Linked DNA regions of Coturnix japonica. The protein of the gene in region 2 purifies or fractionates together with the protein of the main gene of each other region. This does not show direct contact. Links are inferred from orthologs where the notes say so. Each region holds a gene or a part of one and is shown on either strand. Other genes may lie near its edges.

Region 1 (3,500 bases), on a different chromosome or scaffold from region 2:
CTGCACGTGCATTCAGGCACCTGTGGGGATGTGCACTTTGCAGTCACTATCCATGTCAACCCTCTTAAGCAGCTTTTAGCTACAAATAAACCTACCGCAGCTCTTTCTGCTTCTCTTTCACGCTCACGTTCTCTCTCTCTTTCCTTCTCTTTTTCCTTCTCTCTCTCCCTTTCCTCTCTGGCTTTCTGCTCCGCTTCCCTTTTGGCCTTTTCAATGGCCTCTTCTCTCTTCTTGGCCAGTTTGGATCCTGCCAGAGGCATGAAGTACAAATCTGCTCTTGAGCAGGAATTGTAGCCACGGTCCAGGTGCTTATAGAACCTGAGGGAAACAAAACAGAAAGAAATCAGTTCTGGAAAGGTGGAAGTCTGAGGTTTAAGAGCTACATGTCAAGGAGGAAAAGTTATCACTGTACACTTTCTGAAAGGGAACGAAAGGAATTAATTGTGCCATGTGACAACACAGACAAGCAGAGCACAATACCCCTCTCACAAGTACAACCTCCAATACCCCTGTCTGAAGAAGCACCTTCACAGAGAAGAACAGCAAAGCCCTGATTAAAACAAGGGCTGACAAGATGCACGTGTAAAACACATTCACATCTTACTGAAGCTGATTTCTCACATGCATTCAGAAGTCTTCTGAGCCGACAACATAAGGACAACAATTAGGAGAGAAAGGAGAACTCTAACCATGCAACATTTGCATTTCAGCTCAGGAAGCCTTCCTGCAAGAACCAGGAATGGGAGGCAGGAAGATTCACTTATCTCCCTTAGCTATCTTTGGGAAGGGTGGAAGGGAACACAGCCACTGCTTAATGCAGGGGGAAGTCCCTAACAAAGTATTTTCTTGATAAAAAAGAAAGTAATTCCACTGTAACAAGCAGGAGAGATGCAAGCTTTTGGGTCCTGCTAAAGAGAAGTGCACCAAGGAAGCACTGCTGCCAACCTCCATACCTGGCAGACTGGCTGGCATGACTCGGTGTATCCACCACAGTTGGTTCTGGGGATGGACTCCGTGGTGGAGGTGGGGGGCTTTCTGGTTCCTCAGCCTCATCGGGGACCTCCTCTTTGATCTGGATAGGTGGCAGCGTGCAGGACGTCACCACTGGCACGCTCCCACTAGAAGCTGCTGACGTGGAGATGGAAGTCTGAAGCGGGATGCCGGGCACGGCAGGCGGCGTGGAAGTGGAGGGGCACGAAGGAGAGGTGATGGATGGTGGGGCTCCGGGCACAAAGGGATGCTGAGAAAAGGGGGGCTGCGAGGATACCTGGTGGAGTCCAGACGGGGGGTGAGCGGCGGATGGGGGAAGGCTCTGACTCTGGGTCAGGACGGGAGGCTGGGCTTGCGAGGACTGCAGTGGCTGGCTCTGGGGCATCAGCTGCAGGGGAGGAGGATGCGCAGATGGAGGGTGGTGAGTGGACAGGGAGCTCAGGGGTTTTAGAGCTGGTGGCGGAGGCAGGTTGGAGTTCATTGAGAATGGAGAAGGGCCGGAGAGATGAGGAGGGTGCTTGTGGGATGGAGGGGTGGGAAGCTGCGGGATGGGGGTGGTGGGGGGAGGTTTGATGTGAGGCATGGCCATGGGCGCGGGGGGCAGTGGCTGCTCCCGTGGAGGCTGGGCCTGCTGCAATGGGGCTGAGGCCGGCAGGGTGGGCTGAGACACCTGCAGTGCAGAGTGGGAGTGAGATGGAGCTTGTGTCTGAAGGGGAACCTGAGACTGAGGCGACTGCGTGGGGAGAGAGAATGGCTGGGGGGGTACGGGATGAGGCAGCAGGGGCTGTGCCTGCAGGCTGTGCGGGGCAGGCTGGGGCTGAGTGTGCAGCGGAGGCTGCGAATGGGGCTGCGACGAGGCTGGGGTGGGCTGGCTCTGAGATGCATTCAGAGGCTGCAGGGGCGGGTGGGGTGATGGCAGTCTCTGCGGGTGCAAAGCAGGGGCTTGCTGGATGTGGGAATGAGGAGGAGGCGGCGCGGGGGCCTGGGGCTGGCTGGGGGCCTGGGATGCTGGTGGTGAAACCTGTGTCGGAGCTGCAGAAGCACTCGAGGCTGCTGGCAGCGGTGCTGGCAGCTGGGCTGGGATGGGGGGCATGGGAGGAGGAGCCTGGCCGGAGCTGCTGGGTGCCTGCAGTACTTGGGGTTGTGCCTGCAGCACTTGCTGCTGAGCGGATGAATCTGAGTCGCTCTCATTGTCTTGAGGGCTGTAGACGCTGGGTGAGGTGCTCCTGTTATCCTGGTCGATGTCCTTGGGGTCGCTGCTCCCTTCGTCGTTGACGCTGCGGCTGTCAGAGCTCTCGCCTTCACCCTCACCCTCCGAGGGAGAGTTCGGCCTGCTGATCTCCTGCGGGAGAAGGAGAGACAAACAGGTGTGCGTGAGGAACTGCATGCAGTGTGTCACACAGAAGCATCTGGGACACATGCTGAGTGACAAAACCACCCCCTGAATCTCATGGGACAAAGCAGCACAGGCAGCACCACCACAGCACACAAGAGTTCTGGGCCCCCCAGAACCAGAGATGAACACATGGGGAGAATCCAATGTAGGGCTCTGAAGCTAAGTGCAGGGCTGGAGAAGATGCAAAGAGAGCTGGGGCTGCCCAGCCTGGAGAAGAGAAGGCTCAGCCCAGCTACTATTAGATTATGACAACTCCAGAGTTGTTCTAACTTGTCAAAGAAAAGGGAAAGCCAAATTTCAATTAAAAAAAAACATCTGAGGCGTGTGGGGGGGGGAAATAAACTAAGTAAGTTCCTCCTGTATTGCCTAAGTATAAAACAAACAGACTCCTGAACTTACCCTATGTTGTTCCACTGCTTTCCAACAGACGGAACACATTATAATACGGGTTGCTTTCTAGCCACAGATTAAGTTAAAATTTGCTGTGGCCTAAATTGGTTTTGTGTTCAGGGTTTGTTGGAGGATTTGCGCTCCCTCCCACACTCAAACTGTTCCCAAAAATGAAAATATTTCTCCAAATACTCACTTGAGTTTTGGATTTTTTGGCACTGGACCTTTCGGGCTCCTCTGTGTCAGACGCCGCCTTCTCCCGCTGCCTCTTGGAATTCTTCAGAGGGGAAGATACCTCTTCTTTTATTTTCTGCCACAAACGAAGCAGAAGAGAACAGTTACCAGTGATGTAAACACAGAAGTAAATGAAGCACAAGTCAGTGCTTTCATGCTGAACACAAACAAGGAGGGCTCCCATGGAGCAGGAGAACTTATCAGAAGTTGAGATCTCCAGTATTTAACACCGAGCCAAGTCAGCATTTGCTCAACTTCTTATTTTTTCCTGTCCTACAGAAAGGCCATGGATGGAGCCCTCCTGCTAAGAGCCTGAAATAGTTACTTATTTTTAACTTGCTGCTATTCAATTTACAGTGCTTAATGCAAGCTTCTTTCTTCATCTGCCTTTGTTTCATCAGTGCTTGCATGGAAAAGCACTTAGTGAAACAGCCTAAAGTGTCAGCTAGCTCTGAAAAACAAGTAAATTGCATACAGCAAAACAGTAACG
Region 2 (4,147 bases):
TTCTTTCCTTTTCAGCATTACGGGAAGCTTTTCTCGCCCCCCAGAAGCCTCACAGACAGGTGTCTTTTCCAATGTACTTGGCAGATCACCAAGTTCAGGCTATTTGGAACCAAAAGGAATGAAAGACTTTGTGAGAGAGAAGCCTGCCAAGGCCCAGTCTTTCACAGAGAGGGAATTTGGACAGAGATCACATCCTGCTGATCCCAGCTGTGGCAGCATGGCCTGCGGAGCAAGAAGGACCCTCACAGATGACTCATAACCCACAAGTTCAATTTCATCCAAAGACAACAGGCTGTCCGTGCAGATTCTCTATTTATGACATTTGTTAAAGATAAATCCAGGACACTCAGAGGCTAAGGGGTTGCTTAGGATTACAATTACCATTTGTATTGGAAACTATAGTTTCCAGTTCCAGAAAGGTATCATTCAGTATAGATATAGATTAATATATATGAAATATCAGGCAAAAAAAGCTTCCACAACGAGAGGAGGCACAGTACAGAAATACAGGCTCTTGTCTCCTATGTGAAAGCAACACCTACCCTTATCACAAGAAAGCTGCATGAATGTATAGCATTACCCTGCTGATTTGTGGTATTTAGTCTTCTTTTCTTTCCAGAATGAAGACTATACACCAAGGCAAGAACTGGATTTATTCCCTAACAGCATAGGATGGATGGAGCATCTCTCACAGTTCCATGCCTGTATTTTCCCCCCATGGTAAAGGGCAGGGTTAAAGCTGCAGACTTCAGCTATGGGTTTCCAAGCTGGAGAAGGGCCTTGGCTTCATTACACCATCACTTTTTTCCTTTCTCAGCAGCCACCAGCATTTCTGGAGCCCGCAGATCTTCCTGTGTTACAGGGCCAGCACATAACACGTGTCTCTTGGTTTTCTTCCCTCTCACTGAAAGCAGTTCGGAAAAAAACCCACTGTTTTCCAGAAAAACACTGAAATTTGAGGAGAATCTGCATGCAAGCTAAATGGAAGCTAAATATATCCCTAGGCAGGGCTAGGCCGCACACCTACCCTCGGTATAACAGCATTACGTGGCCTGCTGTGCTGTTTACCTTACGGATTAGCTCAGTCTCCTCACAATATTGTGGGTTAAGCATGAATTTTCAGTGCTTTCGTTCCTTCATTCCTCAGGGCAGCGAGCACACACCTGAGGGATGGAGGCCTTCAGCACAGAGCCATTTCCAAAGGCGGGAAGCAGGCTGAAAAAAGAAGCGCGTGGCCCTTTAAGGCGCACGGCCCCCACTGATGCTTTTTGTCCCTCTGGCCGCACCGTAGCGCTCATGGGAGAGAGCGGCATTGTGCAGCCTTTGGCCTACATCGCGCATGCGCAGTGCCACATTCCCCGCCTGGCGGCTCCGGTGCTGCCGCCGCCGCCGTGTCCCCCCTCCGCCCCTCCCGAGGCAGGAGGAGGAGGCGGCGGTGCCGGGTGTGCACCCAGCCCTTCCCCTTCCCTCGGTAAGTCACTATGGAGCCCGGCTGGATGGGTTCCTTCAGCTCCGGCTTCGTGTGGGGAGCCGCCTCTCCTCCCTCCCCCACCGCCCTCACTCTGAGGCGAGAGGGGGCCGCGTGCGGCCTTGCATTGCTCTGTATGTGCATTGCATTGCTCTGTGTGTGCATTGCATTGCTCTGCAGCTCCGTTGCTTTGCCCTGCAGCTCCATTGCTTTGCCCTGCAGCTCCCTTGCTTTGCCCTGCAGCTCCGTTGCTTTGCCCTGCAGNTTGCCCTGCAGCTCCGTTGCTTTGCCCTGCAGCTCCATTGCTTTGCCCTGCAGCTCCCTTGCTTTGCCCTGCAGCTCCGTTGCTTTGCCCTGCAGCTCCATTGCTTTGCCCTGCAGCTCCATTGCTTTGCCCTGCAGCTCCATTGCTTTGCCCTGCAGCTCCATTGCTTTGCCCTGCAGCTCCATTGCTTTGCTCTGCAGCTCCATTGCTCTGTGCTGCTCCACGCCTCGCTGTAGAGCGTGCAGCCCTGTGGATGTGTGCACGCCCTATGTACGTGCACACACGTGGCTGTGTATCCTTGCAGGCTGTGTATCCTTGCAGGCTGTGTATTCCTGCAGGCTGCTGCTGCTTCTAAAGCCTTCGGGAAGTTTCTTGCTTACAAGCTGAGTTTACACGAGCTTCCCCCCTGGGTGTGGTGAGAAAGGGGTGTTTGCAGCCAGGGCCCTTTGAAGCTTGCCATGTGCTGCTGCTCAGGTTTGTATGAGGAGGTGCAAGGGGTAAGCTGTGTTGCTTGCTCAAGTTCCCATATAAGTTCAGGTTGAAATGCATTAGATCTGGATTATAGAGCTGGAGTTGCTGGTATTAACAGTAAGTAAGGAGTCTGTACTGTGCTTGTAAAGCTTGCAACTGGTGGCACTGAGCTCTGTGCCCTCCTGAGGACAAGATGTGCATCGTGGCTTGAAAAGTCAATGCTGTTCCTCTTGGATTTGCTGCCACAAGCAAAATGGATTGTGCTTGGGATGGGATATTGCAAATAGCAAAGGATTTGTAAATCCTTACAATGTGAGCTGCGGGTTATTCTGTTACACTGCTGAAATGAAGCTGAACTGCAGCGTGATTGTTCCCTCTGCAGCATCAGCCCTGATTGCAGGGTACAGCACAGCACTGCTCAGGTTTTGCTACAGAAAGCAGATCTGGTGAGGTTAATGCAGGGCTGCTGTTAGGCAGGGGGATCTCTCAAGCAGGGATATGGTGCTCACAGCATTTAGGGGGAAGGTATTAGACCAAAGTACTTGAAATAGGAAATGGAAAAATAAAACAAACCTGGTGTGGTTTTAAGCTTTGGAAATGCCTTATATATAAGGTGTTGTATTTGCTGTGTTGTACAGATGTTTCAAGGAATATAAGATAAACCCACTGCCTCTAAGAGCTACTCTGCTTTATTTGTAGTGATTGGTACAAAACACAGCAAAAAACGCTGTGCAGGAGCTGATCAAAGTCTTGTATTTGGGTTCTTGATAGACCACTAATAGACCTGTAGGCATAAAATGGCATGTTGCTGAGCAGGCGTACAATATGTTTCCTCATCATGTTTTCTGCAGACCTGCAGTTAAGCTGATCTTGTTCCTTTAGCTGCCTCTGATCCTTCTTTGATGGTTAATGTGATTGTTTGCTTTTTCTTCCAGGGTTTTGTTTCTAGCAGCGCTGTTCCTCTCCCCGTGGCAAGGGCTGCCTTGTGAAGCAGCACGTTCATTCTCCCCCTTCAAGCACCGTAGGTCTCATTTGCCGGCTTCAGAACCATGGCAACAGAAGAAAAGAAACCAGATGCAGAATCCACCAAAACACAATCGACTCCTTCCTCCTCAACCAATCAGAGCAAGGTGTGTGTGGGGAGCTCTGAACAATGCCTGCGTAAATGCACATGGTGCATACCTGCACGTGCACCAGGCAAACAGCAATTAGAGAACTGAATCAAGTATGCATTAAGAACTTCTTAATACGTCTGCCTCTGCTGTTGTATGGAGAGGGAAGTGTGCTGAAGGTTGTAGGGGAAAAGCAGGCTGAGTACAGCTTAGTGCTAGGTTGATTATTTGGTTGAAATAGAGTTTTAAGGGGCCTGGGGGAGTTGGCTTGTGGTTGCTTCTGAGCAAGGAATAGAACTACAGGCATTTCATAGTACTATACACAGAGTATAAAACCATCACCAGAGGTTTTATTTTAATCTCAAAACACTCTGTGCTCGAACTGTTGTGTTACTGTCATCTGTTAGTTGCAGGCTTGAAGGGAATTCAGATCAGGATGAGTTTGGTGGCACGTGGCTGTAATGTGCTTCTGGCTCCAGTGGGGGCTTGTTGAATTTGGTGGGGGGAGAGAATGTAAATGGTAGAATCTGTTCAGGTGAATGTATGTATTCATGTGTGCTGATCTCGTCTGATACTGAGCTTGTCACTGAGAAACTAAATTGGGAATTTATTCAACTCATTCATATGTATTTTTCTTCCAGCCTGCACCAGTGAAACCAAATTATGCTCTAAAGTTCACGTTAGCGGGACATACGAAGGCGGTATCATCTGTAAAGTTTAGTCCTAATGGAGAGTGGTTAGCCAGCTCCTGTAAGTATTGCTTTCTTACATCAACAGAATGCAAATACGGGCCTTGTAGAACTACTTGTCTTAACTGACTGGATGGAGAAG
Region 3 (3,500 bases), on a different chromosome or scaffold from region 2:
TGGTAATTAGATACTTAATAAGGAATGGAAATCAGAGGGTTCCTTCCCTACTCTCATTACTTTTTCATTACTTAAGAAGTAATAAGTTTACGTGTGGTTCTGTGAGTCTTGGACCCTCGTGTTCTTCACTTAGAAGTGTATGGGTCAAAGAAGTACCTCTACTTTATATGGAGCTGTTTGATGTTGGTTTATTTTAGTTGAAGTTGAAAGGTTGAACTGAATTTTTGCAGTACATTATGTATGAATGTGGCTTTGAGTTTGTAACTCATAAAGAGGAAGGTTTAGGCATCTTTGTCGCTTTCTGTTTGAAATGGCCCAAATCATGTTGCAGTTCTTAAAATGAGACGTACTCAAGGCATTGTGTCATCCACTAATGAAATACAGCTGCCCTTTTAAGCTGATTTTTTTTCCCACTGTTTAATGTATACAACAGCATTCTGTGTTTAAGGATGGGAATGGAAAAATAATACAACTAGTTGAAAACACTGAATTGGTATGTCAAAATTACAATGACCAGGACACAGGGCTCAACATCCTTATACTTTTGCAAAAAGTGGTGTTTGGATTTCCAATGACAGCAAAAAGTTGTACTTCTGTTAAACATCTTCCACAAAAGACAGTTCTGTTAGTGGCTTATTTGTCAGAAATAGCATTATTGGACGCTGGTCCTTTTCTGACTCCAAGAGAAAAGTACCATCTCTGGAATAATGAGTGATGCTTTCCATATTGATGTTGCTTGGAGGTGTTACATCCACACACTGAACCGGTCCAGCTTTGTTTAGCTTATGAGATGCTACGGGATACAACCTGAGATAGTATGGCTACACTGAATTAACTGTGGAAGTTAATGAATTCCCCTGTGCAAGGGGAAGTGATGTTTTGAACAGTTCTTTTTACTTGCCCTGCAGCTGAGACAAGGGTGGAGGTGGGCAGAGTAAAACTGTTTTGAATATCCAGGTGATTAAAATGCCACAGTATTGCAGAAACCTATTTCAATTCTTTCTCAGAGAAAAGTTCGTGGTCTTCCCATAGTGAGGGGGACTCTTCCTCCGCCTCCTGTGTTCATCCCACCACTCCATGTGCACCATCCAAACTTATCGAGATTATGTCTGACTGCAACTGGAATGAAGATTGCGATAAGATCTTGACCATCTTATCAAAGCACATCAACAGTAACATGCCACAGAGCCTCAAAGTTGGTAGCCTCATTATTGAATTGGATTCGGAACACAAAGCTCAGGATGCAGACAACCCTCCTGTGAACTCCTCCAGAGTGAAAATTTCAGTGCCATCCAACCAGGACAGTGATGAGAAGCCTGAGTCACCAGACTTGGAGACTCCCGATAGTGGAGTGCCATCATGTGATAAAGCAGAAAATGTAAAGTCCTTTCAGGCTTACACATTGGACAAGCTACGGGAGAAGTTGCATGGGGGCAAAGGCTTGCCTTTTTATGCAGGAATTTCTCCTGCAGGAAAGCTGGTTGTCAACAAACGCAAAGCTAATATGAGCCACTCAGGCTTGATTCAGGTGGGTCCCTCTGCCTTTACTGTGGAGATTAGATTCAGTTTCATCCAGTATCATAGAACCCCTTAAAGACGAGAGCAAACACTCTTTTAATTTGTCAACCTAGTCTTCTTACTGTCCGGACAAGATTTCTTCATATCCAGTGATGGTTCTGCCTCTCTGTAACTTTGTCCCTTTTAACAGGACATCTGATTCCAAGTCTGAAGTCTGGTGATTTAGGTTGGTCTTTTGGCCTTCTAGGTCTTGGTGGCGCAAGTGCAGAATGTTTCTCAAGATCTCTGAGCTTTTGAAAACTCCCTGCAGATGCATTTGACAGTTAACACTTCTGAATAAGTGGCTGTCAGAAGCCGCAGAAAGAGTATTTTTAGAGTAGGTGTATTCACTGGGACAAAACTTTAAAAGGAAACCGTAAACATTAAATTGCTTTTTATTCAGTTTGCTAGTCTTGACTAATAGCTCGTGTTGTCTTCTGAGTACATGTTAGTGATGAAGAGACTGAAATTCAGAGCATGTCATTTCTCTGCAGTCTCATGCTGCCAATGTGCTATTAGGGATTGCTGGCAGGAGCTGTAGGGCTAGGATCTCTTCTTTTTCAAGGATATTTTGTGGTCGTAGTAACACCACTTGCACTGGAGGTGTATGAATTAGAAAATGAAAATTGAGTGCATTTGTGTAATGCTTTGTAGATGCTTTGCTCTCCCAGGGAGAAGCTTGCAGAAAGAGCAGCCTAGAGGCAGACTTCCTGTTTTAAAGAGTAGAGGTCTTTTTCATTACGGTGTGTTACAATAAGTGCCTTTTAGAGGCTACTACTGAGCAGCCTGGAAGTAAAATGCAATACTGCCAACCAAATTAGTATGAAATTTCCTGCTTACCACTAGGCTTACAGCCTGGTATCCAGAAAAGTTTGTTTGTTCTCTCAGTTACAGCTGCAGATCTCAATGTGAGGTTGGTCAGCTTATGATACAGTACAGACAAGAAAAGAAAGCTGACAGAGCTTTTGCAGAGTCCTTAGAGTTTTGTCCCGATGTGTATGTATGTGTTCTTTCTTCTGTACTGTCAGGTGTTCATAGCTTAGAGAATTCTATCTAAAACTGTCCTCATATCTGGAAAACCACTCTTAACTCAGGACTGCAGTGTAAGTAGGAGAGAAAAACGCGTGCTAGCTTCCCTCTACTGAATTTCAGTGATTTCTTGTGCTCCTTTGAACTCTGTGGCTCTGTGTGAGAGTCTTGAGCAGCATCTAATATCTGTATTACAATGATATAACAGAGTTGCTTGAAGTTACTCTGAGCAGCAGGGAAATTAGGAGTTCCCATTCTGAACTGTAATGTGGCTCTTTGTTTTTGTTTTTTGAAGAGGACGCTTAGAAGTCCTGTGGAATGAAACACCTCTCCAGAGGTGGTGAACTAGCATTCTTTTCACAAAATTTCCCTTTTCCACTTTTTTCAGGTTAATGATAAAAGGTATCCTCAGGCCAAACTGCTTTTGGGACAGATGGGGGCATTACATCCCGCCAGTCGGCTAGCTGCTTATGCCACAGGCAGGCTGCGACCCACAGTACTTGATAAGTCAACCCTCAGTACTGTGATCTCCAAGGTAGCATCCAATGCTTCTGGGACACCATCAGTCCAGGTGCCCACAACATCAGCTCCCAAAACTACATCTTCCACCAGCACTACTTCAGACCCCAGTGTGAAGACTCTGAATGCTCTTTTCCCACCACTGAGACAGATAGGTAGGTTGGAACTTATTACTGTATTTTAAATTGCGTGAAGGTAAAATAAAAAGCAAGTGTACAGCATTGCTGTTGATTTCTTAGCAACAGTACCTGCTGCCTTTGGCTGACTTGCCAACTAAGCTGCCTCTGCAATAAATAACCTCTCTAAAGTAGAAAGGTTTATTTTGAGTTCACAGTAAGACTAGTGGTGTTGACTTCAGTTATTTTACTAACAATACTAGAGCATATTTTCAAGAA
Region 4 (4,110 bases), on a different chromosome or scaffold from region 2:
CAATTAGTCGTGGGTTGCTGTGGCTTAAAATGCTCCTTCAGTTACGTGTCTTAACACATGTGCCACTTTTGACAGATGGCTGATGGCTGCACTCAAGTTTATCACCATCCTTCCTGTATCGGTCAGTCCCAAATGAGACACAGCACTCCAGAATCACAGAATTGGTTGGAAGGGACCTCTAGAGATCATCAAGTCCAACCCCCCTGCCAAAGCAGGCTCCCTACACCATGTCACACAGGTAGGCATGCAGGCGGGTCTTAAATATCTCCAGAGAAGGAGACTCCACCACCTCCCTGGGCAGCCTGTTCCAGTGCTCCATCACCTGCACTGTAAAGAAGTTCTTCCACACATTCGTGCGGAACTTCCTATGCTGTACTTTCATCCCATTACCCCTAGTCCTATCCCCATGCACTGCTGAAAAGAGACCAGCCTCACCACTATGGCTCCCACACCCACAGAAGCAAATACTTGACAAGCAAAGGAGAACTGCATACACCTCAGTGCAGGATATACCGATATCTCATGTTTAGCCCACTGTCCATACAGATTCTCAGGTCAGGACAGGACTCTTCAGCAGGATAATTCCATAACATCTCACTTCCCAGCCTTTACCACATCAAGTTACACTTCCAGGTATAGGATTCAGACTTAATTTTCAAATTCCTTGTTCAAGTTGATCATCTCCTTGATGATCCATCCCTCCAGCCTATTCCCAGAGGTTTCTAACATCTCCAGCCTTATCTGTGTCTGCTTTCACTAAACCACTTCTTCCCCTTAGCAGCAAATTCACATTTTCCTTCACTCACCCTTCCTTGGCAGTTAAAAAGCTCCAGTCACCCTCGATGATGTCCTTACAGGCCTCCACCCCTTCATCTTTCCAAGCTGCCTCTCCCAATATTTCAGTGATGTGTTGCCTGAATAAGCTGAGTCCCGAAGTCTGCTCTCCCAAAGTCCCAAAGCACGTGCTGTGCCAGGGGAGGTTCAAGTTCAATACCAGAAAATGTTTGTTTTTTTTCTTGGAAAGAGTGGTGATCCATTGGAAAAGGCTACCAAGGGAGGTGGTACAGTCACCATCCAGCACAGCCACTCAGCCCTTCCCCACGCCTTGCACTCAGTCCCCACAGCACGCTGCAGACATACAAGCAGGTGGAGCTCTTGCTACATACCTCATGGACAGCACAGGAGCAGACCTGAGCTAGATGACCAGGTTAACTTGGTGCTTAACATCACCAGAGTCTGATGAGAGGCTGATTGCAAATAGTGCACTCAGGTCTGAGAAAATACCTGAGAGGGAGAGAGCCCTGGACAACAGGGCACTGTAAAGAGTCTCTGTTGCCCTATGGTGTCCTGGGAGCACCCTATAGAATCTATAGGGCCCCAATTCCTCCGTTACAGCATTTACGGGATCTCTATGGGAAATGGTTTTAAGTTAAAAGAAGGAAGATTTAGGTTGGATGTTAGGGGGAAGTTCTTCACTAGGAGAGTGGTTAGGTCCTGGAACAGGCTGCCCAGGGAGGTTGTGGATGCCCCGTCCTTGGAGGTGTTCAAGACCAGGTTGGACGGGGCCCTGGGCAACCTGATCTAGTAAAGGTGTATGTTTGGCGGCCCTGCCAGGCAGGGGGGTTGGAACTACATGATCCTTGAGGTCCCTTCCAACCTGGGTCATTCTGTGATTCTGTGTGATTCTATGCTCCTATACTCCTGAATGCTCCCCCCACAAAGGCTCTAGAAGGCCCTGGGATCCCCCCTACAGGGCCCAGAACACAAACCCAACCCACAAGGCCTATAACACCTCTATAAGCCTCACGAGGCCACTCTGCCTCACAGCTCCCCATAGGCCTCGGCTGCCGATGCCACTTTCCGACCATCCTTCGCTGCCTTCCCAGCTTCGGTCCCAGCTTCACCACCTCCTCCTTGTCCTTCCCAATGGCCCCCAGCAGCTCTGTCTCCTCTTTCTAGTTCTGCATTTTTTGTTTTTGGCACCGTGTCAACTTGTTCTTTGTAAAGAGACAGAACCGAAACTGTTTTCTCTTTTAAAACAGCTTTTTAAGGGATTACATTTCATCACGTTCCAGATTTTAGCGCTTAAAATGTACTGGGTCTCTATTAAGTCCACCACTCAACTCTCTGCAGTCATATGTACCCATTAATTAGAAGCACTGGTGGTGAAGCACTCCTATTTTGGCTGGGAAACCAAGTTTTAAATCAAACCTCTCCACTCTACCCGTAAAGAGACAGGGGGGTTGGAACTACATGATCCTTGAGGTCCCTTCCAACCCGGCTCATTCTGTGATTCTGTGTGATTCTATAAAGAGCTACATTAGAAAAGCTCTATCCTGACGTCCTCCCGCTCCCAGCAACCCGCAGCGCCGTCCCTCCCCACACACCCCTCCCTCCCTCCGCAGCAGGATCCAAGCCCCAACCCAGCCCATCCCAGCCCCGCCCTCTGGCCGTTCCCAGGCTGTATTTCCATCCCTATTCCCCGCCCGCTCCGTACCGCGCTCAGACGCAGCGTGTCCGGCCGCAGCGGCCTCAGGCGCTCCCACTTGGAGGCGGCGGCCATGTTGGCGCGCCCCCTCCTCTTCCTCCTTCACGCCGGCGGCGGACTTCGATGAGACGGCAGAGCACTCAAAACCCTACCCGATGTTGCTGGGGGCCCGTGCGGGATAAAGGCGCCTCCATCCCCGCCCCACCTCCGGGTGGAGGGGGTGCCGGGGCCGCCTGGGCTCAGCGCTGCGGCCGCTCCTACCCTCCCCCACCTGTGGGCGGCCGGGCGGCGGATGGAGCGTTTGCGCATGCGCGCACCTGGCCAAGGTGACGCAAAGGCCGAGCACCAATCCGGTGCCGCGGGGATTTCCCGCTCTCTCGCAGCGGAAGCGCCGTGTGCATCGTTACCTCAGTGCCCTCATCACTGAGCGCTGTGTGGGGGTCAATGGAACAGGCTGCACAGGGGGATGGACGAAAGACTCAACATGAGCCAGCAGTGCGCTCTGGGAGCCCGGAAAGCAAATGGGATCCTGGGCTCCATCAGGAGAGGGGTGGTCAGCAGGGATAAGGAGGTGATTGTCCCTCTCTACTCGGCTCTTGTGAGGCCCCATCTGTTGTACTGTGTCCAGGTGTGGAGCCCTCAGTACAAGAAAGACATGGAGATTTTGTTAAGGGTCCAGAGGAGGGCCACAAAGATGATCAGGGGGCTCCAGCACCTCCCCTATGAGGACAGGCTGAGGGAGTTGGGTTTGTTCAGCCTGGAGAAGAGAAGGTTGCGGGGTGACCTCATTGCAGCCTTTCAATACCTGAAGGGAACTTACTCCCAGGAGGGGAGTAAACTCTTGGAAAGGGCTGATAATAGCAGGACACGGGGAAATGGTTTTAAGTTAAAAGAGGGAAGATTTAGGTTGGATGTTAGGGGGAAGTTCTTCACTAGGAGAGTGGTTAGGCCCTGGAACAGGCTGCCCAGTGAGGTTGTGGATGCCCCGTCCTTGGAGGTGTTCAAGGCCAGGTTGGACGGGGCCCTGGGCAACCTGATCTAGTAAAGGTGTATGTTTGGTGGCCCTGCCAGGCAGGGGGGTTGGAACTACATGATCCTTGAGGTCCCTTCCAACCCGGGTCATTCTGTGATTCTGTGTGCTTCTGTGACACATCACTGATACCTAAAAACACACACTTTCTTACGGGCAACATAATGCTCTCTAAGTATTCAATAGCAGAAAGTACAGTCCAATAAGGAATGAAGATTATCCTCTTGCTGTTATACTCAACTGGAGGCATATCTTCTCCAATTGGATCGATTTTCGACCCACCACCAGAGGGCGGTCATTCCATTTGCTGAATGGGATGTTTTAACATTCATATAACCTACAACAATGATTTCGTTAAAATTTTCTGGTTTCAAATGCAGTCTCCCCTTAAATGAAATCTTGCAGCTGGGCTTTCCTGTAGATGCATGTGTGCAATTGCAAAGATGAGCCAAAGCTAATATTGTCCTGAAAAAGTGAATAAGTATGAAAGCATTAAAGACAAATTATACATGTAAGTATCATATGGATGCAAGTATCTGTCTATATTTTTGTATATCACAGAATCACACAGAATCACAGAATGACCCGGGTT
Region 5 (3,500 bases), on a different chromosome or scaffold from region 2:
ACTCTTATTCATAGAGGACAAAATTTCCTTGCATGAAAGCCACATATATTTTACATGCATCTGTTTCTTATATATTTTAGATGATACTGAATAACTACCACTTTTTTTACTAAGTCTGAATTACCAAACCCAAACTACCTCATCAGAGTTGACATCTCAGCTAAGATGCACATGATTTTTAAGCATTAAAATTGAACATAAGAGGGTGATTTTATTACATCAGACATCAGATGTTAACAAAGCAAGAAGGCTCACTGCATGCATTAGAAGCCCTGAAATATGTCTGGCATCCCTCTGTACTGCTCTGATAGTAACAAACAAGTTAGACAGGGACAATGTTTTAAGCTTTTCCTTACTGTGCTGGCTTGTTTTGACAGCTTACATCAAGATGATACAAAAAAGTATTATCCAATACACTGCATCTCTCTACTGCTAAACTCCTCTGAGATATGCAAAAACACACTGTGAATACTAAAGTTGTACACACTGAAATGTACAAGCTGTTGTTTTCATCCATAATATATATTCACCTCAAACACTGTATACCTGTGAGTACCTTACAAGATTTGCATTCTGATTTCAAGGATCCGTTTGGGCGTATAGGAAAAAAAAGACAATCTCCAGTTCAAGAAGATGGGAGGTATCTTGCCTCAGGAAGGTATTCAAACACTGACACTTTTAATGGTATTATCCCTGCAACATTTGGTTTCAACATTACAAGCCTTGAGGCCAAAAATTTATTTGATGTATTTGTGAGCCATAGCTCTAATGAACATTCTTCATACAGTCAACTTGGTATCAGCATGACAGAATGGGGAGAAGACAATGGAACTTGAGCTAGATAAACTGAAAAATTATTTATGTTTCAAAGTTCTATCAAGCTTCAAATAAAAATACCATAATGGAAAAAAAACTCAAAATTCCAACTACATGATCATACCTAAAGTATTTTTCAAGAAGAAAATAGGTTATTTGGGGTATGCTTAAGTGACATGTACTTCTAAGAAACAGAGAATCAAACTAGTCTTCATTTGCTTTGGCTTATCTGGAGCAGGTGAAAGCAACAAGATGTTTCACGCCCTACTGGGGTCAGCAGTTAAAAAAAAAAAACAAATCACCACCTCTGTGTCTCAAATTTCAGCCAACGTGTGACAAATCACAAATGAAAAACTATTTTTGAACTAATACTTAGTGATTGTTAAAGTTCAAGGAATGATTGGATTTTTACATCATTCAGTTTTGGGAGCTATTTAAGAAAGATCTGAACAAAACTTTGGAACATATGATCTCAAGTGTGCCATTAGTTCTCCTATCAGCTTCCTCTGAAGCATGTGAGATTATATGAGAAGTAGTCTGGGTCCTATCTAGTACAGTAATCACTACCTTCCTCACCAAAGTTTGGTTGTGAAGTTTGCTGATTAAAACAAACAACAGAAAAACAACAACAAAACATCACAAAACATGAAAGGGCCTCGTCTTTTAAAACAACCATAGTGAAGAAGAAGGTAGCAGAAAAGCATGAAGTAAACTAAAGCAGGAAAATTATCAAACAAAACTGATTTCACATAAATCTACATTCTGATTTCACTTGCAGTATCAGTTTTTATTCAAAAAAAAGCAGGCTAATCAAGTCTTAGAAAACAAGAACACAAGTGCTTCCACATAGTTTACAAGAGGTAAATGCAAAAGTCACCTTAATGTACTGTTGAACTTGCATAGGTTCAAATCCTGTGAAGAGCACCATTGGCGTCAACTCTGGTGTAAGCTTTTTAGTAGGCGGTGGTAGGTCTTCAATCCTACAAAACGCATGAAATACAGCACAATGTAAGTCCGAGTGAAACACTGTCTTACTTTAAAAACAGACAAGCACACTCCTGCAAATTTTAGGAATGAAAATACAAAGATGAATGAGAATCAGGCAGGATCAATCTTCTAGATAAAAAAAAATTGTTATGCTGAGAACAGAGCATTTTCTCCTGATTCTGCTCTCTCCCAGTTCTCTTCCTATTCTGCTCTTTAGTTACTATTCTATTTCAGCCTGTTGAATAGCTGGCAATATGCAAAAAAAAAAATGCTACTAGTTATTTCAATTAGCAGGGCATGGCATGGAACCAGAATGCTGAGCAGTTCACAGTTACAAGGTACAGTAGTGAGGGACTATCGGCACTGATTGTTCTTACCTGGCTCTTTTGGAAGATGGCTGAAGACTGGATTCATTTTGCTTTGGTTTCAAAGGCAACCTCACACCCTGAAAAAAGACCATCTGTATGTTTACACCTGAACTGAGCAGGGAGCCCAACTTCTATTCTGAAACAGGAGAACTGTACAGCAGCATTCTGAGATCATACTTCAAACACAGAAATGATAAAGACATGCTAGAGAAGGCATTAAACACACAAACTCCTTAAAAGAAAATTAAGATTCCTAATGGACTATAATACCAATTCACAGGGGACTGCAAGTGTAAGACTGTTTTGAAGCTAAAGTCACAGTAAGAGACACAGAAATAGTGGCTACTTTTAAAGCTGAAATGTAGTAAGTCAACAAATTATACTAATACTTTAAATTGGATCTGGGTACTAATTAAGTTATTACAATTATTAAGCACCTGTCTTTAGGAAAGTATACAGATGGACTGAGGTATGCAAAAGGCTAGATCGAAGCATTTTTGTGTAATATAAAATGTTATTGTGTTAGATATTGACTCCAAAATACAAAGCCTCTTCTAAAGGTCTTATGTAAAAGCAAAGAGTTAAGAACTAGGCCACGATATTTCCAAAGTAATTTTGTATAATACGCTGCAGTTTCTTAGTTCCACAAAAGATTATTTTTAAGATTTATGCTAACAGACAACTAAAAGCAAGTGCCACCAAGACAGTTTGTGTGGGTTCTTCAGGCAGGTCTCCTCACACTAAATGCACACGTGCTCAGATGTGAAAAACACTATGCAGCAATCTAACACAAACAGCTGTATAACTAAACATACCATTAGAAGTTCTGGTGATACCTTTAATGGGACTCTCCAAGCATCTACAAAACGAAGAACACCACAGAAGTGCACAATTATTTATGGTAAGGATAAAGATGCTTCTCTTGATTAAACAGGTTTATATAAACAAATGCTACAGATCATAGAATTCTGGGACACTTACCCAGCAGGTTTAGAACTAGATGTTGACTAGGAGAAAGTGGATCTTGAAGACTGAACACTGTATATCGACTGTGCTGTATCTGCCGTAAAGCTTCAAAATTTCCCAGCAGTATGTCACAAAGCCACTGTGCATTTACACATGGTATTCTCCATTCTTTGGCTTTCTCATACTTCAAGCCACTGGGTCTTATCATTCAGAGATGAAGAAAAAAGGTTTTAATAAAACAGATACATAGCATTTATACTTATAGACTTAAATATCAGTATTTCTTTGTTGGCCAGTTATCTATTTTAATAATAAAGCAGGCAAAAATACTTTTGCTCTACATGTTAAAACAAGCAATATCAA
Region 6 (3,500 bases), on a different chromosome or scaffold from region 2:
AAGGTAACTCATATTCACCTCTACCCAATGCTAAGCTCTACTGCTAATATACACTTCATTACTTGCTCACGTCACCATCTAACACGTATCTTTACAGACTTCTACGTCGTGCCCAGGGCTTATTTTTCACCAAACGGAATTTGACAACTATTACACTTCGGAGTTTTTACTGAGGATTCTTGTGTTATTTTTTTTGGTCTTCTAGCCTTTTCATTGCAGCTTACAGTGATGTTCATAGTTCAGACCATTTTCCCACACTAACTCAGGAGAAAATCTTCAGAAGGTTTTTTCCCCTTAAAGAATCTAAACTCATTCAGATACAAAACTGAAAACCAGAGGTGAGCTTGGACGCATCTCGGTCACTGTAAAATTGTTTCTGCTACTTCAAAATGCGTTTTAAAATCGTAAATAGCGCACTTAGCTTCTAATTCAATATCTTGCAAAGAAACATGAAAAATAAGCCACTGGTCATGGATCCTAAGGATTACATTCAAAGCTAGCCTTTAAAAAAAATAGAAAAGTTACGGGCAAAACATACTGTTTTATGTACTCACTAGCTTATTGCGCTACAATAGGCATGGTTTAGGTATAAAAAAAAAAGCAGACAATTCAGATTTAAATAAGACTATGTGAAATCAGAAAAAAAAAAAAACCCTTAGATTTCACTATTTAAAAAAAGAACACCTAGAATTACTTCCCATCCTATAGCTACAGTTAAATCAACTAACAAAAATAATCAAACTATTTTTGACAAACAAGAGTTAGGCTAGAATAAGTGGCAACAATCAAAGTTCATATATGTTTCTATGTAAAAGGACTCATGATTTACTATAACATAAAATATGAACAAGAGCACTTCATGGCTAATGAAGGAGCTACTAGTGGAAACACCTAATGCCAGTTTTCAGCCCTCCTTTAGGTCGTATCTCCAAATCAGTATTGACTTCATTTGACCAGATACATCATTTTCGGCTTGTCACTCCAGTATGTCACGTTTTACCACTTTCCACAGGCAGCAGGAGACAACTAGCTGAGCAAACTACAAGCAGTGACATGCAGAAATTTACTCTCAAATCTGAGTACTTAGATAAAAATGATATGCAAGCGCACACTAGGACAAAAGGAATGGCATTCGTCATTCAAATAGGCTCATCGTTCCCTCCCCCACCCCCCAACAGTAGTTGCAACAGCAATAGAAAAAGGTCAAGAAGATGTCTGTTCTTCAGAGTCAACTGTGGAAAAAAGTCAGCAATATATAACAGCAGCGATGGACAAGGAAGAGCAAAACGAAAGAATCTTGCTGAATATTTGTTCATTTACTTTTTCTGAACACAAGCCAAAGTGTGCCACACTGGCTTGCTCTGAACTTCAGATACAGATGTCCTATTCTCCTTAGATCCTTCACAGATTTAGAATTCAGTCTCCCTGAGGCCCCTATAACCAAGTAAGAAAACTCTCTTTATCTAGCTTGGTGGCTGCCAAGACAGATTCCATGTCATTTAAGATGTCAGAGCTCAAAGCCTCTTGCAGACTTGGCATCAGTTCTTCTCCTTCTATATTCATCCCATCTCCTTCCAGTGTCCCAAGGTCCACATTTGTCCCTGGAATGGCTTCAAGGTAGTCTGGGAATCGGTTCTGATGGGACGGTATGTTACTTTGGCTGATACTGTCACCTAGTTATAACAAAAAGCAAGATGGATGTTCAATTTACTGGAAGTACCAAACCCACAATTAATCACAACTGGTTAAAGGTTAATCCTGGATCCTTTGCATCACTCAAAAACTGTGATTCATAGAAATTCATCACAAAAACTAAAGATGACTTGGCTACATGCAGATGTACGAAGAACTTGCCTTTGTTTCAAACTTTTCATGTCTTAACCTGAATCTTTACAGATCTTTGATCTTTTAGCATGTTTTAGTTTTTATGCATAAAAGACAATAACAAGTCAAATATAATTTGGGAGCAACATTAGCAATACTGATTAAGCATACTTATATAATAATAGTATAGTAATACTGAGTAAGTTCTTAGCTTAGAACTTTTGCTTTCTTAAGAAAGCAAATGGGTATTCAAATTCCATATAGCTGCAGGAATTATTCCCTTTATGAGCCTTCCAGTAGAATTTATTACAAGGATGTTTTTCACAAATTTAACTATAATAGTTCTGCAATAGAAATAGAAGGAGGTAGTACAAACATAACCCCCCCCCCCCCCCCAAAAAACATTGGAGCTTTTCAGAATCACTTGTTTTCACTGCAAAGGGGCTGAGCATTTGATACCAGCACGACTGAAAAGGGTGTATTAAGGAGAACAAACCTGTATCCATCTCATCAACACTGTTCAGGAAGTCATCGGGGGTTCTGGGTACACTGTAACTGCTCATGCTAAGTCCGCTATCTGTGCTTTCATCTCTGGAGTGATATGTTCCACTGTAACAGAAAAAATGCAACAAAAATGAGGGTAGAGCATCGGAGAAACTAAAATAGTTGCACACCCCAGTGCAGGGGTTTTGATAACGTGGCTGTCACAAGAAATGCTCCGTTCTAATTAAAAGCTGAAGTCTGTGTGAGACACCAGTTTTTCATTTTACACTGACCTTTCCCAATGAAAACCACAGCACTGAGGTTCAATTTAACTCAGTAAGAACATACCTAAGCAGCTTTAAGAAACAGCCTATCGATGTTCCACACTGTTTTAAACTTTTCACACCCACCCACAGCTAAAAACCATTCGAAGCATATCACAGTCCTTAACCATTACAGAGCTAATAATGGTGTACATTTCACACTTCAGTAAGGATTAGGAGCATTCTAACTACTAATGTCCCCTTGTTTAATCAGCCACCAAAGTGCATTTTTAGGTCAGTGCTGTTATAAATAGGAGCTACAGTTGGAACTCTTTTAGCAATTCTTCAGTTGCTTCCCGCTGTTGCATTACTACCAGTTCAGTCGTACATGTCATGGCAAGAGGGCCCTGATATAAATCAAATCCTGTACAGAAGCCATTCTGTAAACAAATCCTGTTCAGAATGATCTTGCTGACAGAACAGTTAGCAAGATGGCACAGGGCCTTACGTATATTAGTTTTCTCGCTGCCATCTTACTACCAGTGGAGCAGACAAGACCAAGGGAGCTGCAATGGAAATTTGGGATGGGACTGGGAAGAACAGGCCAATCAGATGACCTACAATCAGCTGGGGGGATCCAGTTTACAGTTGACTTTCTTATAAGTCACATAAACTATTTCTTTGAAAGTAGAACAATAAGAAACGTTTATATACAACAGTGAAAATCATTATCCTGACTGGAATAATTATTTCCAGAAGCTGGAAGGAGCTGCTACTTGTTATACTTAGGCATACATCTGAAAATATTTTGCTGTAATAGCTGAAAGGATGCAAACAGCCCCACCAGTCAAAACGGTCACAAGCGGAAGCAGCTGTAGAACTACACCATTACCTCCCTCCTCTTCTGTCTACTAACAGCCAAGCTTCAAC
Region 7 (4,102 bases), on a different chromosome or scaffold from region 2:
GATCAAAGTGTCCTCCTCCCTGTCAAACCAGAAAGAATACAACGCCTTCTCTATTTTGCGTTATACAAACTACAGACATGAGGTACACGGAAACAGTAGTAAGTGCAGAAATACAAGACCTTTAGGACGCATCCTGAGATGGAGCAGGAGGATCTTTATTCTCGGGCTCTGGAGGAGGAGCTGGCACGCTTTCCTCTTTCTTTTGTGCAGCCAAAAATTCATGAATCGCCCTCTCTATCTGGGGCCTGAATGTGTGGTTGATCTTTGGGTCCACAACCTGAGAAATAATTCTGTCCACTCCAGCTTCCAGCATTCCTGACCTTGAACAAAGACAAAGAAGTCATTCAGTTCCTCTGAAAAACTTCTCCCCAATCTCCTCCAGTAACTCTCTAGAGCCCTGCTGTCAACTGCAATTAGCATTAACATGGTGAGAACTGCAACCCACTCAGAAGATCCTTAACAGGGAACTGTTTCAAACACCTATTTCTCCCCAACCCCCTCACAGTTCTCCCCATAGAATTAATGACTGACATCTGGTCTTCCAGGTACTTACATGGTATATTGGACAAGAACCACTTTAATAGGGCTTATGTGGAAACGAGGTCAACACATTTTGCCACAAACAAAAGAAACAAACTATTCTGAGGAGGGCAGCTGAGAGCAGTCTTTTTTTTTGGCTAACTTGAGGGAGAAAAGGCCTTCTCCCTACTAACATTACTGTCACTCACTCCTTGTAACTGTTAGTCTAGACGGATGGGTATTAATTAAACAAACAAGCACACGTAGCACACGGCAACGTTTCTGGAACTCAGCATTAAAAACTGAAATGACTTATTGCTTCAGGGGCTGCGTCAGACTCTTGGATTGCAGGGCACAGGCAGTCTAGAGGGCTTAAGTCATGTCTGCAAAGGAGCAGGGGCCAGGAAATGGAGACAGTGCCTGGTGTTTAGCAAAGCAGCCACAAGACTAATAATGCTGTGGATACTGGTGAGCAACTGGGTGCAGGGTCACTGCACATCATGTCACCTCCAAGTAAGAAAGAGCATGTGTGTACGTGCAGCCAACAAAGGGCAGCTATCTAGAGGCATGCCTTGATGGCCTGCAGCACTCAGTCTTGTACTCGCAGTAGTGACGTGGACTCTTCAAACTCCTATAGCTGCTTGTTTACTCTCTATACCAGTAGTCTATACAAAGTGAGCACTTTATCTTCTACAGACTCTGATACAACATTTTTCTATTGCCATTTCATTTCTGTGGTTGATTAGTATGAAATAAGAGGAAGCTTGAAGTGACAGAAGCGCCAAGGGCTTCAAGTATAGACAGGAAATTCTGTACTTGCAGTGAATATTCTCTTCTATCATTAACGAAGAAACACTGAAACTAACATTAAATACTATTGTTTCACAGCATCCATCAAGAGAAATAGCTTCTTCTGTGTGCAAGGCTTTCTAATAAATTTCTTTACAAGCATAATTGCCATTATAAAGTTCATTACTGCCTTCTCCCTAGAGCTGTGATGTTCTTATCCATGACCTTTAGCCAAACAATCTAAGGTTTATACTTCAGGCTATGATGAATTAGCAGCAAGAGGTACAAAACCTAAATGTCTAAGCAGGAGAGTTCAATCAGGCTTTCCTGTTGTGCTAGAAGCATATCTTCTAAAGCTGAAAAAAGCCATCCATTTGCTGCAGGAAATCAAGCCAGCCTAGTTCCATTACTGCCTGCTAGTGGCTGGAAACAACAACAGAAGGTTGTTATGCAAATTATAAGACTTCTGTGATAGGATAGATTGTTGTGTATTGTTTATCAACGATACGGTAGTACACGGAATATTGCTTACTTACTGAATCACACTCTGTCTTAACCCATTTCGTAACTGGTTTTTGTTCATTGCTGGATTCCATTCCTGTTTGTCCAGATGGGTTGATACAAAGTTGTCCACCTTCTGCCTCAAATTTTGATAGGCTGGCTAAAAAAAAGAGTAAAATCCCATTAAGCTGGTAAAAGATCTCAAATTCCTTGCCAGAATCTTTCCTGGTACTTCTTTTGTTGTGTACACCACTGTTTTGTTGTCCATATGCTCCATCCCTTCACCTTCTGAACAAAGCTAAGCCTGTACTTACCGTAAGTGGTAATTGCAAAGAACTGGTTGTCACAGTAGCGTTACAATAACTGAATAGGATAGTTAGGAAGCAGGATAGGTTTCTTTAATAACTGCTGTCTGCTCATAATGTTACTCAGTGAAATGCAAGCTGTGTGTGCAGCCAGGTGCAAAGGAATTTCATCATTTAGACACATGTAGTGATGAATGTAACATAAGTGCAGTGACCCAGGCTGCAAAACCAGCCTGTGTGTCCCTATCCTTCAGCGCTGATCTCACCGTGGCAGCCCTATGGCTGCTTCTGGGGTGGTTCTACAGCTGCAGGGTGTCCCAATGGGGCTCTGGCTGAACACAACTGGAAGTTTAAGCCGTATTACCTTGGTGTCCACATCGGCCAGGCAATCCCTGCGGAATCCATCGAACAGCCCGCGGCTCTTGAGCTGCTCCACGATGATGGCGATGAGCTGCGCGTCTCCGGGCGGCAGCGAGGCCGGGTTGGTGGCTCCGGGCCCGGAGCTCGATGTTGAACCTCCCGAGCTCCCCGCTCCGCTTCCACCTCCCGCACCGCCGCCTCCTCCTCCTCCTCCCTGGGCGGATCCACCGGCGCTGCCGCTGTCGGACATGGCGAACGGATGAACCCGAGGCCCAACAACGGCTGCGACCGTCCACGGCGGCGCGCTGCGTTTTGCGTAATGCGTGTGGGTTCGCTCTGCTCGTGGGAACTACATCTCCCAGAGTGCACCGCGAACGCACGGTGGAAGGGGAGGAAAGAGTCTCTTTCGCGATGCATCTCGGGAAATGTAGTTCGGTTGGGTCGGGGCCTTGCCCGCGGCCTGCACCGCCTGGAGGGATACGAAAGGCGGCCCCCGGTAGAGGGCACCCCGAGGCCGTCCCTCGGCTGGGCCCTGTCACATCGCATTGAGAACACAGCACAGAGCCCCATAGGGGCTGCCAGGGCTGAGCTGGTTTAATGGGAGGTGGAGGTGGAGGTGTAGATATAGACACAGGGGTTGGAACTGGACTGTGTTGCAGGTCCCTTCCAACCCAAACCATTCTATGATGGTATGAAATGACCTAAAGGAAACACTGCCCTTAAACCACAGGTTTAAACAAAAATCCACCTGCATCCATGACACGGGGCTGTGGGCCCCACAGGGGCCCAAGGCCGAAAGGAAAAAGTTAATTAGGAAAAGAAAACAGCGGCAATGATCTAAGGAGGCACACTTATTTACTAAAATACTATATTGAAATACAGGATAACACAATCTAATACAATATAATTGAAAATTGAACCTTTGTCCATTCCATATAGTACCATTGGTTCCATATGATTGATAAGGTTTCTTCCTTAGGTTACATGTGACTCACTGGACACTGGGAGGATTTAGGAGCCATCATGGCTGGAAGAGGAGAAGGACCATATTCCTCTCTATGGGTTTTCCAGCTCCTGTATCAGTGCTAAATGACCAACACAGTAGGTGGTTTTCCTTCTCCTGGCAACCTCTGTCCACAAAACCAGCTGCCAGTTGTGGACTCCAGTTTCTAATGGTTTTATCTTACCAATGATCAGACACAGAGATCCAGGGCAGGCAGTGTTAGCTGGGCACTGCAGGGGATAATGGGAACACTGCAGGGAAGGCAGATGAAGCTTTGTACACAGATGTACTCTCATACACACATAGTCTGCAAATTAGAGCACTGAGCTGGGACCATGATTTTCCCATTGCCTATGTGTTCTGCGTTTGGGAACAGGGTAAGGAGAGAGGGCAAAAAAAGTCATTGTTAGCCCCAATGGAAGATTAGACAGAGCTCATTAAGTGTAGAACCACTGGATGGCTTGGTTTGGAAGGGAGCTCAAATACCATCTAGTTCCAACCCTCTGCCTGCAGGCTGGGCTACCAACCACTAAATCAGGCACTATGATGCTCAGGGCCCCATCCAACCTTGCCCTACGCAGACTATCTCTTCTCTGAAGAAATTTTTGCTCATAAATCCAACCAC

Evidence for each region.
Region 1: the proteins of WDR5 (region 2) and RERE purify together in Homo sapiens (affinity purification with mass spectrometry; 5 studies listed by BioGRID and IntAct, counting the BioPlex papers as one, with this or other methods). This does not show direct contact. The link is inferred for Coturnix japonica from reciprocal best matches to the Homo sapiens genes WDR5 and RERE.
Region 3: the proteins of WDR5 (region 2) and MGA purify together in Homo sapiens (affinity purification with mass spectrometry; 5 studies listed by BioGRID and IntAct, counting the BioPlex papers as one, with this or other methods). This does not show direct contact. The link is inferred for Coturnix japonica from reciprocal best matches to the Homo sapiens genes WDR5 and MGA.
Region 4: the proteins of WDR5 (region 2) and E2F6 purify together in Homo sapiens (affinity purification with mass spectrometry; 4 studies listed by BioGRID and IntAct, counting the BioPlex papers as one, with this or other methods). This does not show direct contact. The link is inferred for Coturnix japonica from reciprocal best matches to the Homo sapiens genes WDR5 and E2F6.
Region 5: the proteins of WDR5 (region 2) and PAXIP1 purify together in Homo sapiens (affinity purification with mass spectrometry; 7 studies listed by BioGRID and IntAct, counting the BioPlex papers as one, with this or other methods). This does not show direct contact. The link is inferred for Coturnix japonica from reciprocal best matches to the Homo sapiens genes WDR5 and PAXIP1.
Region 6: the proteins of WDR5 (region 2) and YAP1 purify together in Homo sapiens (affinity purification with mass spectrometry; 3 studies listed by BioGRID, with this or other methods). This does not show direct contact. The link is inferred for Coturnix japonica from reciprocal best matches to the Homo sapiens genes WDR5 and YAP1.
Region 7: the proteins of WDR5 (region 2) and BOD1 purify together in Homo sapiens (affinity purification with mass spectrometry; 3 studies listed by BioGRID and IntAct, counting the BioPlex papers as one, with this or other methods). This does not show direct contact. The link is inferred for Coturnix japonica from reciprocal best matches to the Homo sapiens genes WDR5 and BOD1.

The regions. Positions count from the first base shown.
Region 1 is NC_029536.1:2,582,241-2,585,740, forward strand, and holds part of RERE (arginine-glutamic acid dipeptide repeats protein), read right to left. Parts: intron 3,087-3,500; coding exon 2,973-3,086; intron 2,333-2,972; coding exon 954-2,332; intron 319-953; coding exon 96-318; intron 1-95. UniProt on the Homo sapiens protein: Plays a role as a transcriptional repressor during development. May play a role in the control of cell survival. Overexpression of RERE recruits BAX to the nucleus particularly to POD and triggers caspase-3 activation, leading to cell death.
Region 2 is NC_029532.1:5,717,867-5,722,013, forward strand, and holds the start of WDR5 (WD repeat-containing protein 5), read left to right. Parts: upstream 1-1,347; 5' UTR 1,348-1,471; intron 1,472-3,139; 5' UTR 3,140-3,253; coding exon 3,254-3,334; intron 3,335-3,957; coding exon 3,958-4,066; intron 4,067-4,147.
Region 3 is NC_029520.1:22,380,097-22,383,596, forward strand, and holds part of MGA (MAX gene-associated protein), read left to right. Parts: intron 1-1,007; coding exon 1,008-1,528; intron 1,529-2,974; coding exon 2,975-3,260; intron 3,261-3,500. UniProt on the Homo sapiens protein: Functions as a dual-specificity transcription factor, regulating the expression of both MAX-network and T-box family target genes. Functions as a repressor or an activator.
Region 4 is NC_029518.1:88,734,210-88,738,319, forward strand, and holds the start of E2F6 (transcription factor E2F6), read right to left. Parts: upstream 2,801-4,110; 5' UTR 2,564-2,800; coding exon 2,498-2,563; intron 1-2,497. UniProt on the Homo sapiens protein: Inhibitor of E2F-dependent transcription. Binds DNA cooperatively with DP proteins through the E2 recognition site, 5'-TTTC[CG]CGC-3'. Has a preference for the 5'-TTTCCCGC-3' E2F recognition site.
Region 5 is NC_029517.1:6,810,911-6,814,410, forward strand, and holds part of PAXIP1 (PAX-interacting protein 1), read right to left. Parts: intron 3,338-3,500; coding exon 3,153-3,337; intron 3,031-3,152; coding exon 2,987-3,030; intron 2,249-2,986; coding exon 2,181-2,248; intron 1,797-2,180; coding exon 1,694-1,796; intron 1-1,693.
Region 6 is NC_029516.1:163,400,871-163,404,370, forward strand, and holds part of YAP1 (transcriptional coactivator YAP1), read right to left. Parts: intron 2,434-3,500; coding exon 2,321-2,433; intron 1,674-2,320; coding exon 1,435-1,673; 3' UTR 1-1,434. UniProt on the Homo sapiens protein: Transcriptional regulator with dual roles as a coactivator and corepressor. Critical downstream regulatory target in the Hippo signaling pathway, crucial for organ size control and tumor suppression by restricting proliferation and promoting apoptosis.
Region 7 is NC_029528.1:11,214,381-11,218,482, forward strand, and holds the start of BOD1 (biorientation of chromosomes in cell division protein 1), read right to left. Parts: upstream 2,801-4,102; 5' UTR 2,725-2,800; coding exon 2,479-2,724; intron 1,970-2,478; coding exon 1,845-1,969; intron 321-1,844; coding exon 122-320; 3' UTR 120-121; intron 1-119. UniProt on the Homo sapiens protein: Required for proper chromosome biorientation through the detection or correction of syntelic attachments in mitotic spindles.